Linked DNA regions of Canis lupus familiaris. The protein of the gene in region 1 purifies or fractionates together with the protein of each later gene. This does not show direct contact. Links are inferred from orthologs where the notes say so. Each region holds a gene or a part of one and is shown on either strand. Other genes may lie near its edges.

Evidence for each region. Proteins that work in one complex are often made in the same cells at the same time.
Region 2: the proteins of CFAP20 (region 1) and CLK4-associating serine/arginine rich protein purify together in Homo sapiens (affinity purification with mass spectrometry; 3 studies listed by BioGRID and IntAct, counting the BioPlex papers as one, with this or other methods). This does not show direct contact. The link is inferred for Canis lupus familiaris from reciprocal best matches to the Homo sapiens genes CFAP20 and CLASRP.

What each region holds. Positions count from the first base shown.
Region 1 is NC_049223.1:57,713,182-57,721,535, forward strand, and holds the start of CFAP20 (cilia- and flagella-associated protein 20), read left to right. Parts: upstream 1-3,170; 5' UTR 3,171-3,417; coding exon 3,418-3,501; intron 3,502-8,354. UniProt on the Homo sapiens protein: Cilium- and flagellum-specific protein that plays a role in axonemal structure organization and motility. Microtubule inner protein (MIP) part of the dynein-decorated doublet microtubules (DMTs) in cilia axoneme, which is required for motile cilia beating.
Region 2 is NC_049222.1:111,129,928-111,137,554, forward strand, and holds part of CLK4-associating serine/arginine rich protein, read right to left. Parts: intron 6,662-7,627; coding exon 6,564-6,661; intron 6,170-6,563; coding exon 6,068-6,169; intron 5,852-6,067; coding exon 5,772-5,851; intron 3,689-5,771; coding exon 3,604-3,688; intron 2,508-3,603; coding exon 2,359-2,507; intron 1,521-2,358; coding exon 1,424-1,520; intron 437-1,423; coding exon 358-436; intron 264-357; coding exon 190-263; intron 1-189. UniProt on the Homo sapiens protein: Probably functions as an alternative splicing regulator. May regulate the mRNA splicing of genes such as CLK1. May act by regulating members of the CLK kinase family.

The DNA of each region.
Region 1 (8,354 bases):
TGTGATACATTCACGGTTAGAGATTCTGAGCTGGTCATGTACTGGTTGCTACTTCTGCAATGGTTTCACCCAAATTTCAGGTAAACAAACTAAGCCCCTTGCAGTAGTAATGGGGTTTTCAAGGCCACCCCCTATGTTATACCTTACTTGATGAGGGTTAGGATTATGTTACCTGTTCTAAAACTCTTAATGAAAAAAAATAAAAAATAAAAAAATAAAACTCTTAATGGCCTATTTGCATCCTCACCCACTACCCAGATTGGAATCCCTTTACTGTCTCAGTAAGTTCTGCTTCCTATTTATTAATTTTTTTAACTGACCCACTCCATTCTAATTAGAGAAATCATTGAAGGAAGCAACTAATTAGCAAGATTTCTCTTGTGTTTTGTCATTACATAACTCCATGTTGATGGAGGGAAAACAATCCTAAAGAATTTTAGTGCTTAAATGCATTTTTCTGTGAGAGACACATGGTTTTAGGTTAATTTGGTCAACATTACCTTTGAAATGAAAATAAATGTCAGAGGTGTCCTTTTGGCTCTAGTCTACTCATCCGTCCATTCATTCATCGTGTGCCTGCCATGATGGTGGTACTGTGTAGGTGCTGGGATACAATGCACAGAGATACAATCTGCACCTGAAAAAAGCATACCAAAATTAGGTCCGTAACGGAGCCAACTCACTAATTCATGCTCTCCAAACCTTTGATCAAATCATTTTTACTGTAGCCAAGGTCATGATCACAATCATCTTTGAAATCCAATATAAGGAAGAACTGAACACAGTTCAGGCAGACACTTACTGAGAATGGGTAGTTAGGAGAAGCAAATGCTTTCATTTTCTCCATCAGCTTGCTCGTTGATTGGCTATCTGTTCAAGGCACTTAGGCCCACACTCACTTAAGGTGTTCCACTTTATTTGAGGAGAATGCATGGTTAATTAGAGAAATGTGAGCAGGCAAATGGGCTAGGTGAGCCCCAATTCAGAGTAGAAGATCTCTACTGGCTGGATGGGTGTGGAGCTGCTGAAACTAGGAGAGACAGAGCCTGTGCTGGATCTGTAGTAACCAGGACCCCAAGTCTGTGACTCTGATTCCCTGAATCAACACATACTTACTGCATTCCCACTTTATGCAGGCACTTGGATTGGGTATTGGGAATACATCAATAGGCAAGACAGACCAAATTCTTTCTCCTAGAAGATCAAAATCAGGGGAAAGGAGACAGCAATAAGTAACTATATAGACTATGAAGTGGTGATTAGTGCTGTGAAAAAAAATAAAGTGGGGTAGGGTGACAAAAAGTTGGGGTAGGGGGTCCATTTCAGGTTGGTTGTCAAAGAAGTCCTCTCTGATGAGGTAGTATGTTGAGTTGAATAGTGTCTGCTCAAAATTAATGTCTACACACAACCTCAAAAATGGACACCTATTTGGAAATAGGGTCTTTGTGGATGCAGTAAGTTGAAAGCCTCAAGATGATGTCATACTGGATTCAATGTGGACACTAAATCCAATTACTGGTGTGCTTATAAGAGGAGGGGACACAGGAAAACTATGTCAAGATGTCAGAGAGATTGGAGTAATGCTGCCACAGGCCAAAGAACAGCTAGGACCATCAAAAGCTGGAAGAGGCAAATAAGGATCCCTGAAAATTTAATAACAACGAAGGGATAAATTGTCCACTGGCCTAAAGTATATAGAGTTCCCAGAAGTCATCCAAAAAGGATTATTTCATATAAAAAATTTTTGAGATTCTACCCTAATAAGATCCATATATTTCCCCCTGTACCATGTCTAGAAATTCTGGCTAGATTGTTCACAGGGTTGCTGTGAGGATTAAATGATTTAGTAAAAGCTAAAGCTCTTAGTATAGTGCCAGATACCTAATGAATGCTCCACTGATCTTAGCCATTTGTAGCTGTTTTGATGATGATGTTCACTACAAACTCCTTTTCCGTAGCCACAACACCCAGAACAGGCCTGGGCATACGGTATAATATGGAGGTAGATGCTCAGTGAGTGATAGATAGGTCTCCAGCATTTGGGATTTCTTCCACACGTGAAATATCAGAGCTTATTTTATGTCTTTTAAAAAATGTTCTAAGTATTAGTTGATTTTTAAGGGATCCCTGGGTGGCGCAGCGGTTTGGCGCCTGCCTTTGGCCCAGGGCGCGATCTTGGAGATCCGGGATCGAATCCCACGTCGGGCTCTCAGTGCATGGAGCCTGCTTCTCCCTCTGCCTATGTCTCTGCCTCTCTCTCTCTCTCTCTCTCTCTCTCTCTGTGACTATCATAAATAAAAATTTAAAAAAATTAAAAAAAAAAAAAAAAACTGTTGAGGGACTCCTGGGTCGCCCAGCGGTTTAGCGCCGCCTTCAGTCCCGGGCATGATCCTGGAGACCCGGGATCGAGTCCCGCATCCGGCTCCCTGCGAAGAGCCTGCTTCTCCCTCTGCCTGTGTCTCTGCCTCTCCCTCTCTCTCTCATGAATAAATAAATAAAATCTAAAAAAAAAAAAAAAAAAAAAACCTGTTGATCCAACTCAACTTTATTTTAATTTTATTAACTTCTGCTTTTATATTAATATTCAGGCTTTGTTTGCTAGTGAATTCCAGGTAATGTTTTCCCGAGGGCACGGTTTGCATCCCACAGGACAACACGGTGTATAGCCATAGTGACTGTTGATAAAGCAGTGATGCACACGAGGCGAGGAGCCCAGGGAATGCGCAAGAGCGGTCGGCCGCTTTAGCCCTGCCCTGACGTTCTCAGAACACCAGGCAAGCCGCTGCTTACCAAGCACCTTCCGCGCCTTTCTCCGCTCTCGCCCCTGTAACTCCTCCCAGTCCCTCCGGGGGCGGGGGCGGGGGCGGGGGCGGGGGCGGGCCGTGCGGTCCCTGACCCCGCCCCCCGCCACGTTTCCGTGACGCCCCGCGGGGGCGCCGCACCGTCTGCAATCTCCCGTCTTCTTCCGCCTTCTAAGGCAACTCAGGAGGACTGAGATGGGAAAAATATTCCCTTGACAACAGAGTTCTTTCCACCCGGGCCCAAGAGCGGAGGGACCGGAAGCCGCGAGCCTGTGTCAGGATTGGGCCCCGCGCGCTCGGGGGCGGGCCAAGTGGGCGGAGGGATCCATTTTACGCGGCGGAAGGTCCGCCGCCTCCATTCAGGGCGGGGAGAGCGGCGCGGGCGGCCGTTGCTGTGGTTTCCGAGTCGAGGGTTTTTTTTTTTTTTTTTTTGCCTTCGGGGAGCTGAAACTGGAGGACGTTGCGTCTCGCGTCCAAGTTTAGCCGCAGGTGACTACAGAGCCGGCGGCCAGGAGCGCAGCTTCTCCTTCGGACCGGGGCCGGCCCTGCCTTCCCTTCGCCCCTCGGCGTCCGTATCTAGGTCGGCTCCGGCGCGGCTGGGAAGGCCGCGGGCGAGATGTTCAAAAACACGTTCCAGAGCGGCTTCCTCTCCATCCTCTACAGCATTGGCAGCAAACCCCTGCAGATCTGGGACAAAAAGGTCAGGATCTGGGGGCGCTGGCTGGGCGGGGCGCAGGGGCCGCGCCGCTCCTCGTGCGGGCGCTGAGGGCGGGCGGCGGGGGCGTCCTGCCGCGGCGGGACCCCGGCCCCGAGGCGCGAGGTGGGGGCGTGGCCGGGGCTTCTGTGGCCTGCGGCCGCGGTGTGCCGTGACCGCCGAACCTCGCCGCCGTCTTGACTTGGTCAGTCGCTTGCTCGGTTTCCCCATTTATATAGCGGGGGGATCGGTGGTACCGTGTCCTAGCGTGAAATGCATGACCTTACAACTTGAGGCCGCTTTGAAAGAAGCTGCTGTTCACTGATTGCACGAATATTTCCTGATGCCCTGTTGGGTGACGGGCACTGTGCTGGGCACAAGACACAGGACCTTTGTTCCAGGCACACAAGCCAGAGGCAGTTATGTTTGGGTTTCATTCATTTGCTCCTTTCCTTCCAGTGATCTCCAGGGAGAATTCGGGGGCCTTGGGCACCTGCTCCACATTCAGTGCTACTTGGGGTCTGTACTGTGCCTTCCGTGCTTGATGCCTACATCAGAAAAAGTTACAAAATGGTGATAAAGCTTTGTTTGGATTAATAAACTCAGAGCCAGGTTTCAGCCTCATTATTATTATTTTTTGAGGTATCCTCTGGATAACACTTTTTCACTGACCCCTGGAGATAATGATCCTGTCCTGAGTCGTTTCATTTCTCATCCAGATTCCCAGTCAGCTGTACTCACCCCCCCCCCCCTTTTTGTTGTTGTTGTTGTTGTTGTTGTTGTTGTTAAGGATAAGTTAAGACAGGCACTTTATTGTGATTCCTGAGGGGAGAACAGAGAGAAGTGGTATGTTGAATGGTGTTTCTATAGAGATGGATGTGGAATCATCTAAATAACAGTTTATTGGTCATGAAGCCAAGAATCTTGGATTTCATCTCAGAACAACTCTTTGTCTTCCCTTATCCACAGATAGTGTTTTGGGCAACCCAGAGATTGGGAGAGAACACGACAGCCTTCTGCCTGTCACCACTAGGAAATTCTGCATTTCCAAAGCAGCTTTGAGGGTGTGTTCTTAAAGTCATTTTTATAAGACAGTTGAAAGATCTGAGTATAGTGAGTTATTTGGGAGCTTATGCATATATGAAAAATTTGACCAATTTTCCTCTTTTACAAGTTAAGGCTAATACCAGGAGTATTACACAGGAAAGTAGTTCCTTAAGTTAGTTAGTTAGTTAGTTAGTTATTTTTTACATTACTGAGGTTTTCAGTTCCATGGTTTTGTTCACATTGGAATAAACACTGTAAACTCTAAAATCACATCTCTGCAAAGAGAACCTAGAATAAATATACCTAGAAACTTTGTAAGGATGATGGCTTCACAGCTGTGGCTTGACTTAGTTATGGGCTGTCAGGAGGCCTGGAGAGAGTGACCTTGTGTGCCCTTGAACGTGGAATGGTAACAGAATTGTCAATATGAGGCAGTCAAACTAGAGAATGGGACTTGATCTAGGAGAGCTTTACAGAGCAGGTCAGAGAACTTACACTGAAACAAGTCCAGGGTTAGGGAGGCCTCAGCATTTCTAGTGTGTGAAACTTACCAGAGTTGTCCATTTTAACCCTTTGGGGCTTGATCTTTTGTAGCCTATTTTTTACAGCTTTTTGATTAGTCAACATGTTTACACATGGAGTATAAAAGCAAAGTAACCATGGTGCACTGTGTCGCTTAACAACACCACTAGAGGTCGGATGGTACCCTGATGACATAAACACGTGTGAAAACATTAGAACAACTGGCAGGGTTACAGGGCCTAAATGAAACACGTTTGAGCAAAGAAAACATATAGAATAACACTCATTTATTTTTTTTTAATTTATTTATTTATGATAGTCACAGAGAGAGAGAGAGAGAGGCAGAGACACAGGCAGAGGGAGAGGCAGGCTCCATGCACCGGGAGCCCAATGTGGGATTCGATCCCGGGTCTCCAGGATCACGCCCTGGGCCAAAGGCAGGCGCCAAACCGCTGCGCCACCCAGGGATCCCTAACACTCATTTTCAACAAAGTTCTCATAATAGTAAAAATTAATTACATTTCTACTTTTTGTATTTAGACTACAAAGTGTTTAGGGGTGAATTTTTTCCCCTGGGGCAAGGTAAGGAAAAGAAGAATGGCAAGTTTGGGATCAGATTCATAGGCCTCGTTGTATGTGTGCCTTTTCTTGGCTGTATTACAGAGTCCTCAGGAAGTTTTGGGACTCCAACCCAGTTGGGAAAACACTGGGAATTGATAGACTTATCAAAGACTTATTGAGCAGCAGTTAAGTCACAGGCATTGTGTAGATTTGGGGTGACAGCAGAGAGAAGACCTTTCCATACTCTCAGGGAGTAAGGCAAAGTTGCAGTAAAGGCAAAGTTTGATGGAAAGAGGGATGGACTGCCCACATTTATCTTAGAAATGACCCTGACCTGGTTGCTTGGGTGGCTCAGCAGTTGAGCATCTGCCTTTGGCTCAGGGTGTGATCCTGGAGTCCCACATCAGACTCCCAGCAGGGAGCCTGCTTCTGCCTCTGCCTATATCTCTTGCCATATCTCTGCCTCTTGGTGTCTCTCATGAATAAATAAATGAAATCTAAAGAAAAGAAAAGAAATGACTCTGACCTTTGCCAGTAGGTACATATGGCTATTTTTACTATTTTGGTTTTTTTTTTTTTTTAATTTTTATTTATTTGTTTATGATAGTCACATAGAGAGAGAGAGAGGCAGAGACACAGGCAGAGGGAGAAGCAGGCCCCATGCACCGGGAGCCTGACGTGGAATTCGATCCCGGGTCTCCAGGATCGCCCCCTGGGCCAAAGGCAGGCGCTAAACCGCTGCGCCACCCAGGGATCCCTATTTTTACTATTTTGATTACACAAACTTTACTATTCCCCTGCCTGAGTATATCAAGACAGAATTTCTATAGTTTGTTTTCTGTGAAGAATAATCTTGGAAAAATTAGTTTTGGCTTTTTTTTTTTTTTTTTTCAGATTTTTTTTTTTAATTTATTTATTCGTGAGAGACATAGAAAGGGACAGGCTCCATGCAGGGAGCCTGATGTGGGACTCGATCCCGGGACTCCAGGATCACACTGTGAGCCTAAGGCAAACAGATGCTCAACCACTGAGCCACCCAGGCATCCCTAGTTTTGGCTTCTGTTTAGGCTGTGTCTCCTTATGAATGTGTGGAGTGAATGCCATAATCCTAATGCCAGTGAATTGACAAACTCTGTTGTTGTGAGTGTGGTTACTAATATATGTAACACCTGCATTGTGTCGCATTTTGTAGTGATTCCACCTTCTCCCATGGTTATGGGGATTAAATGAAGGTGTATATAAAATGCTTGGCAGCAGTTATGGCATACAGTACTAAGTAGGGCAGGAAACTGAGAAATTTGCTCAAGAGTAAATAAGTCTATAATTGATGCTTAGAAATAGGAAGTGCAGTAAAGTCAGATTTCAGAAATTAGAATAATTTAGTCATTGTACCAGGGCTTTCCCTGTCTAAAAGCCTTAACATGGCTCTCAGGCCACACAGCACATGGTCTGGTGCCCGCTTCACTGTTTCTCCAGGCTCACCTCCCTTTCTTCCCTCACCTTAGCAGTAACCTCCCACTGAACTGAAAGAGGTCATGTTCTCGAACCTTCAGGCTTCTGTCCTTGTCCATCCCTCTGCTGGGACTCCCCTTGCCATCTCTTCATTAGTCTCTGGATCACAGTGGAAAGGCATTTCCTCAGGTTACATTAGTTTATATCCACTCACCCCTCCAAGGTTAAGTTCGTTTTTATCCCCTTATAGAACCTCTACTTCCTTTTCATCATCATCCTCGTACTTGAAATTGGCTTCTTAAAATCTGTATGCCTGGTTATACTGTAAACTTCCTGATAGAGGCCTCTGCAATTTAAAAAAAAAAAAAAAAATTTGTTTGAAAAGCAAGAGAGAGGGCAGGGAGAGAGGGAGAGAGAGTCTCAAGTAGATCCCCCTCCTGAGCCAGAGCCCAATGTAGGGCTTGATCCCATGGCCCTGAGATTATGACCTGAGCCGAAACCAAGAGTCACTTAACCAACTGTGCCACCAAGGAGCCCCAAGATCTCTGTTTTGTTTTGAGATCTTGAGAAATTTTGAGCTTATGAGAAATTAGGGGCTTCTTGATGTTCCCTTAACTTCTGGGACCAGCAAATATTATATTTACTAAAGGACTTTTATGTTTAATATAGTCATTACTTCTGGTTTGTAAAGAAGATACCAGACAGTTCTGTTCTCACTTATGTCTGTATAAAACAGTTTTCACATTTCAAATTATAAATATAAGTCTAACATGCTGAAAGTCTACTAGATGAGAATGTTCATTCATACCATCTTTCTTGCCTCTCACCTTGTCTTTCAGCTGCTGCTGATCCTTGCCTATTCCAAAATGAAATATTAGAACCAGACTTTCTGTGATTGTTTCTGGATAGTATTAGATTCCCATTCCCTGTTCCTAATTTTACTTATTTATTTTCCCTGTTCCCATTTTTAAAAATGAATTGTCTCCAGAAAAGTAGTTTCCATACCCTAGTTTTTTCTTGTTTGTTTGTTTTAAGATTTTATTTATGCATGAGAGACACAGGCACAGGGAGAAGCCGGCTTCCCATGGGGAGCCTGATGCAGGACTCAATCCCAGGACCTCAGGATCACGACCTGAACCAAAGGCAGATGCTCAACCACTGAGCCACCCAGGTTCCCGCCCACTCCCCGCCGCCCCCCCCCCCCCATCTAGTTTTTAATTAGCAAGCCTTATTGGTACATGTTAAACTGCTGCAGTTTCCAGTAGCAGAATCAAGGG
Region 2 (7,627 bases), on another chromosome or scaffold:
AGGGTGTCTACATGCCCCTTGAGGCCTTTCCTCCCCTAAACCTACCCCAATTACTGCCCTACTAGGAGGAATCTGTTCACAAGCCCAAGCCTGCCCCCAAAGGGGGCCCCTTAATGAGCCCAAGCTCCCTGCCCCTGAGCCCTGAATGAGGCTGGCAGGGCAGAGGCACAGGGGAGGGACCTAGCCTACCTGGGTGGGCTGATCTTGCGGCCCCGGAGTCGCTTTTCCCGGAACTCCCTCCGCTGGCGACGGGAACGTCGGCCCTGGAGAGTTGGGGGGGGGGGGGGGGCACTGTGTTAATGAGGGATGCACCCTCCCTGAGGCAACCCCCACCCCCCACCCTGGCCCGGCTCTCACCGAGTACATGGCCTTTTCTTCCTCAAGGGCCTTGGCGTGCTTGATCGCCTCTGCCTCTTCCTTGTCTTTCCGGAGCATCCTGCAAGGGGAGGGGGGTCACAGTGGAGAAGGGGTGGCCATAGGCAGAACTGTTGCAGGAAGTGAGGAATCCCACACCATCCTGGAGTCTCTCAATCATTCAGCACGATTACTGAGCACCCACTGCACACGGATGCTATTTTACGTACTGGTGATTCACTATTGAAAACAAACAAAAATCTTGGCCCTTGCGGGCTTACGTTCTAGGGAGAAAACAGTGACCAAGGTAATGGGACGAGTAGTACGTTAAACAGTAAAAAGTTAGATGGGAAGATTGACGGCAGAAGGAGGAAGGAAGTGCCAGGGAACATGTAAAAGCTGCTACAGCTTTCAAGAGGGAGGTCAGGGAAGCCACATGGAGAAAAATGACAACTGAGGAGAAACCACAGGGAATAAGTCGCAAAGCCAACACTGCAGTGGCCTGAAGTCTGGTGGAGCCTTAGAGGCTACACAGGGGTGGAGTGTGTGGGTAAGAGGAGGAGAGGACCAGACAGGTAAGGTCTTGTGGCCGTGGTGAGGACTCTGGGTGCCCAAGGAATGGGGCAGTCATGGAGGGTTCTGAGCAGAGGGTGCCATGTTCAGATGGGATCATTCGGATTCAGACCCAATACTCTGTTAACTGGGGCCATTCTCTGTGAGACCTGCATGCACATCAGCAACTGTGAGGGAGTGAGCCAGTGACTGAAGCCTCCTCTCCACCAGAGGGTGCTGTCCACCAGGCCCAGGAACCCGGGGAACTTTTAGGGGTCAGAGGTCCGCAGGTCACACGGAGTTGGGTGCAGCTTCAGTTTCCACACAGGCAAAGCCTGGTCAAAGTACCATCCCATATGCTCTGGAGCCTGTGCATGTGAAGCCGCCGCACGCCGCCCCCCCCCCCCCCCCACATGGGGCTGGGCCTACCAGCACCGAGGAATAAAGCAGCTGTGAGCAACAGGGGTGAGGATGGACACTGGGCCAGAATGGAGGAGCACCAGCCAGCAGGCCTCACCTGACAAAGTCACCATCGGCCATGCCATAGGTCGTGGCCTGCTTGTTGAGATCTGCCACCTGCTCCTGGTTCAGTTCGTCCACATCCACCTCCACGTCTGCACCAAGAGAAAGGCTGTCAGGGGCCAAAGCCAAATGAGAAGACCAGGGATGAGGGGGCAGTGCCCTGAGAGATGGGGGCACGAGGGGATGCCCACCACACTGGAGGCCTCTGCAGGGAGGGAACGAGTCAGCTCATCTCGGCGTCCCCAGGCTGGCACAGGGTTGGCCGGAGGTGAGCGCAACCAACGGCAAGGGGCGTTAGGTGGGGGTGGGGAGGAGATGCAATGCATGAGGACCCAAATGAGCACTGAGATGGACGATCGAGACCAGTGGACTGAGTGATGTACCATGTGTCGATGGGGACGGATGATGGGGGGTGAAGATCTGGGTGAGTCAGAAGTGTTTAGGAGCTAGATGCACTCTGAGAAGGGGATGGATGCCTCACATATGTGTGATAAGCAGCAGCTGGCTGAGCGGATGAGGTTAGACAACTGGAGCTACCAGTATTTGCAGGGAACAGTGAATGGCAGGGTCTGGATGGGGGGAGGTGAGGGATGGCTCTGGACTGAACGAACACATGTTCTCCAGAGGAGAGACAAAAAGAGGGAGACAGAGAGGCTAACCCAAGTAGAAAAGAACGGAAACAGAACCTAGGTGGGGACAATATCATAGAAGTAGTATCCTAAAATGAGAAAGGAGAAATACAGAGAGGGAGGCCAACACAGAGGAGCACGTGAGTAAGACATGGAGGACGGCAGAGGCTGGAGTGCCCTGGAGCAGGGACGGGAGAAATGGGGCTCGTAAGTGCGGGGTGTCCCACAGAGGGTGAGGAACGAGACACGAAAACGATGCCCAGGGACTGCGGGGTGGGAGAGGGCAGAGAGGGGACCCCACCGATGTCGGGGATGACCTCATCTTCGTCCGAGTTGCTCTCCTCCTCTGCTGGTGACTCCTCCTCCTCTGGCTTCTCCACCACCTTCTCTACTTCAGCCACGGTACTGTCCTCATAGGTGTAGCCAATGGAAGCCTTCTTCTCTGCCAGCCTGGGACGGGGGAGCCCATGAGCCAGGAGGGCCACGGGCAGGGTCCAGCCCAGATCCCAAGCCATGAGGGAGGGCACACTGACTCCCCAAGCTCTAGCCTCCCAAGGGTGCTCTTGCCTCCAGGCCCTCACACACACAGTCCCCCAGCCTAGAACCTTCTGCACCTGCCTCCTACCAGCCCTTCCCTCTTCCCCTAAGCTCCAGCTCCAAGGCCTCCAGGAAGTCATTACCTAGGCTGGGTCATGCACCATCCTGAGCTCCTCAGCCCCACCCTTGTTGGGTCATGACTACTGGGGGTCAGGGAGGTCCCAGCGGGGCAGGCTCCCTTCTGTCTTCTAAGCACTTGCTGTTAGCAGACTCGAGGGCAGGACCCAGAGTTATCTTGGGTAACAACGTGACCCAGCTCTGCCCATAACAGGGGAGCAGCCTCAAGCATGTCTGTTGCTGAATTAATTTAGTTAATAGTCCCAAGCACCCTTTGAGTGCCAACCTCATCCTGAAAGTGGGATCATGGGTAAGGATCAGTCATTGAGAAGCTTCCATGGCATCTGTGGAAACTCCAGATGGAAGAAAGGAGTCAGGCTCCTGGACTGCTGTGGGACAGGTGGGCCAAGAGCTGCCCCAGGAGGAAGACAGGGCTACCCCGGCAGAGGGCACAAAGACAGAAGGGAGACTGCCCACCAGCTGCTCCAGGTAAGGCCCCAACTCCCCCCACAGCTTGTTCCTTGAAGGACATGGCCTTGAGAAGCCCCCCTCTGAAGTGACACTTGCTGCTGCTGAACACACACAGGGCAGGCACAGAACCACCTACAAGCTCCATTCACTGCAGGAAGAGAGGACTCCTCCTAGCCCTTGTGGCAGGGGAGCACAACAAAAGTCAGAGAGGGAGTCCTCAAAGGCAGGACTCACCCACGCCTGGGTCGACACAGGCCACCACTTCCTCCTCTAAGTGTTTACTGAGTGCTTACTGTGTACCCAACACTGGCCTTGACTCTGAGAAAACTGAGGTGGATGAGCTAGATGAGGCCGTGCCCTGGTGGGGCTCACAGTCCTCCGGGCTCCCCCACTGCCACCATGCCCCCAGACCCCAACTCACTTCTTCTTCTCATCCTCACTGGGTCTCTGGAGGCCTCCATACAGCTCGTCAATGTAGATCTGGTACAGGCACTGCTCCTCTGAGACTGAAGCAGAGTACGAGACAGAAGGGTCAGAGTGGGGGTGAGGGACACAAGAATGCAGAAGGAAGGAAGACGAGTGCAACCCAAGTTCAGCCAGGGGCAGAGTTGCTGGAGTGCAGATAATCACAAACTGTGTGGGGAGGACACAGCAACTGCAGGACTCGCCATGAGACCATAAAGGGGCTTAACTTCTCTCTGCCTGGTTTCCTTTTCTGTAAAGCAGCTGCCCTGGCAGAGTGAGCACTTGGCACTAGAGCAATGCTCCTATTATCCCTGCAAGGGAGGCCTTTGGTTGGACCCCTCAAAACTACAAACTTCTGACCACTGGATGTCACTGGGACTTCATGGGCCACTCCACCATGTGCCTCTCTGTGGCTCAGTTTCAATTACATGTGTTTGGAGCCATCTGAGCTCTTGTTTACCCACAACACCTAACTTGGGGAGCTCGGCATTGTGTCAGAGCCTTCTCTGATCTTCCCTGCAATTGAACACATGGCCCTGACGGGCTGCGGGATCCTGGGCAAGTCCCCTTCCCTCTGTGGGTCTCAGCTTTTCTATTTGTAAAGTCAAGTTGGAGGGCTGAGTGAACCCAGAGGTGACGGAGCACAGTCCCTTGCTCCAGCAGCCCCACCCCCACCCCCATGTCCTTCCTGGTTCCCAATCATGGTATACAAAGCCTGGGAGAGGGCCTTGCTGGCCTGTCTCACACAAGCTGCCTCACTCTCCTTGCTCCAGCCATACAGGCTGCCTGCCCCCATCCACCCGAAAGATCCCAGCCAACCTCTCCTCACCAGAGTTCCTCTCCACCCTTCTCCAACCCTAGCCTCTGTCAAGCACCTCAGAGAACAGCGCACTGTCTGTTTATAACCCCACCTTCGTTTGCAATCACCACCCACTTTGGGGACATTGTGGTTGCTCCCCGCCCCCCCACGAGACCCTGACCCCAGAGGAGCACCTGCCACACCATAGGTGCTCAGGAATTATCGCAATGCACGAATGCAGGGTCAGACCAAAGGAAGGGAAACTCTGGCTCTATCACCAAGAACCCCCTGGCCTTGGGTGAAAGCAAAAGCAGCAACAGTATCAATGATGATAAATTTCCCTGATTCTAACACCTCACTGATTGCTAGAACTTTGGCAATCTTTGGTTTTAGAGATGCTAAAACACCCATCTTAGAAACAAAGAAATTAGAGAATAGCAAATCCACACCTAGGACTGACTGAACCAGGCTCAGTGCCAGGGCTTCATGTACCCCTCACCGGGCTCTTACAACTACCTTGGGGGAAAGAAACCATCATCACCACCCTTCTCTGGGAGGAGATTGAGACTGGCCAGGCTAAGGGTCTCATGTGGCCTGTCCTCCTTCTAACTCAACAGGGAAACCCTAAGAGGGGAGGTCTCAGTCCTTCTCAGGAGGGGAGCTAAGGCTCAGAGCTGACCATCAGAAGGAAGCAGTGGTTAAGGGCAGGGTGAGAATCCCAGCTTTTTGGACGGTGTTCCCACCAACTCCTGAGCCTCAACGTCCTCGTCTATAAAATGGATGCCACTGCTAGATGGTTGTGCAGATGTGATGAGATAGAATGCAGACAAAAAGATCCAAGTTTGTCAGAGTCCAAACCTCCCCGGGCAAGCCCAGAATGGGGAAAACCCTGAGTCTCCGTTTTATTTGTGAAGCAGCATGGTGATGGCTCAGAGGAACGATACCAATATATACAAAGGATTGGCAGATTGTCAAACTTTGTGTAAATATTCTTAGAAAATTCTTGAAAGAAATTTCCTCTTCAAAAGTTACATTCTGACCCAAACAAACTGGCAGAAACACACAGAGGGATATGATGCATTCTTGCTATTTTCCCAAATTTTTTAGGACAAAGATCAGAAAGGCAGAGGGTGTGGGATATGAAAGTGACCTCGGCAGGACTATCTTGCTCAGGAGACATTGCCTGTACTGGGTCCAAAGACAGAGGCCTCAGAAGAAAGAGCTGGGAGCAAACCCCAGGTCCTGTAGTTGAAAGCACTGGAGTGAAAGTGGTCTTCCTGTGTCCACGGCCTCCCTACCCACCCGCCATGCCCCAGCTCACTCACTGCCGGCAAAGTCGTTCTGCACCAGGCCTCGGTAGCGCTCGTAGTTACATTTCCGCTCGTCTGACTCCTGTTCTGGGGAGCTTTGGGGGAGGTCAAGGCCTTGAGATCAGAGGAAGAGGGTAGGCCACACCCCAAGCCAGCAGGAGCAGGGGATGAGGAGTCTGGTTCAGGCTGGGAAGCTCCCCACTGGCATACCTCCTCCTTCCCAGGAAAGTGACAGGCAGGCAAGGGCTTGGGAAAGAGGGGGGAGTAAGGCTCAGACTCTCTGCCTGGCAAGCGTCAGGGGCGCAGCTTACATGGTGGTGAGCAGCGGCGGGGTGTAGTCGGGGATGTGATCAAGGTGGGCACGGACATCGAAGCGGTCAATCATGTTGTTGGTGTCCCCCTGCCAGGGCATCCTGAAATGGGGAGCAACGAGTTTAGGGTCCCCAGGGCCCACACCCATTCCCTGTCACCTCAGCTCTCAGTGATATTCCAGGGCCCCACCCTCAACCCCCACTTCTCAGTCTCTTATGTCCCTCATCCCCCTGAATCCACATTCAAGCTCCTGGCCTCAAGAGGGGCCTGAATGGGACCCTGGGAACTGGGGCCCTATTTCTCAGAACCAAGCACAAGTGGAAAACTCGAACCAGGTTCTAGAGGCCACTTGCTAAGCCCCTGTCGTCTTGAAACATCCCCTGTGGCAACCTACTTCCCGTTTCATCTGAGCCTGTGGCCATGGCCCCACCCATTCCCAAGACCTCCAATCCTCAGATACAGACCCTACCTCCTGCCCTTCAAAGTCAGTCTTACATGTTAACGGGGCTCTCGGCAGCCAGGGCAACTGCAGAATCCAGGTGCACCTTGCAAGCTCGGCCATGCACCTGCAGGAACTGGGCTGGGTCCTTCTTCTGCAGGGGGAGAGAGGATGGAGGTCACCACGGCACTGCACTCCCTGCCACCCCCTTGCATCCAAGCTTGGTCGTGAGCCCACCTCTGATGTCAAGTGGTCCATGCTGCAGAGGCAGTCTGACCTGCACAGGGATGGCAGCACTAATGGGGCCACCTAACCCCTAGGGACAGGGGTTCCTGAGATGGTGGAGAAAGGCTCTGAGCTCTGGCCCAGCTTAATGTAAAGTTGGTATCAAGACACCCCCTGCCCCTGCCAAAATATGATTCTCCAACTCTTCACCTGCCCCCTACCTCCACTCATTCAGACCCAGGCATGAGCACACTGGCCTGGACCAGCCTCGAAAATACCAGGACCACACAAGCACATGCAAAAATGATCAGTGGCACTACTCATCAGAGAAATGCCAATGAGAACCACAAGACATTGTTTCACACTCACCAGGACAGCTAAAACGGGAAGGAGGACAGACGTTAACAATACCAACAAGAACGTGGAGAAATTAAGTGTTTCAGCAGTTAAAGAAAGAACTGCCATACAACCCAGCAATTCCACTCCAAAGGACGCATGTACCCACGAAGGACTGAGTACTTGTACCAACATTCAAGCAGCACGATCCACAACGGCCGAAAGACAGAAGCAATCATATGTCCATCAATGGATGGCCGATAAACAAACCGTGGTCTATTTCGACAATGGAAAATTGTCCATAAAAAAGAATGAAGAACCAACACATGCTACAACATGGATGAATCTCGAAAACAGGACGCTAAGCGAAAGATGCCGGTCACAAGAGGCCACATGTTGTAGGATTCCGTTACTGTGAAACATCCAGAATAAGCAAATCCACAGGACAGGAAGTGGATGAGCGGCTACCCAAGGCTGGGAAGTTGGGGGACTGACTGCTAATGGGTATGGGGTCCATCCAGGCTGTGCTGATGAATATACTGAAATCCACAGAACTGTA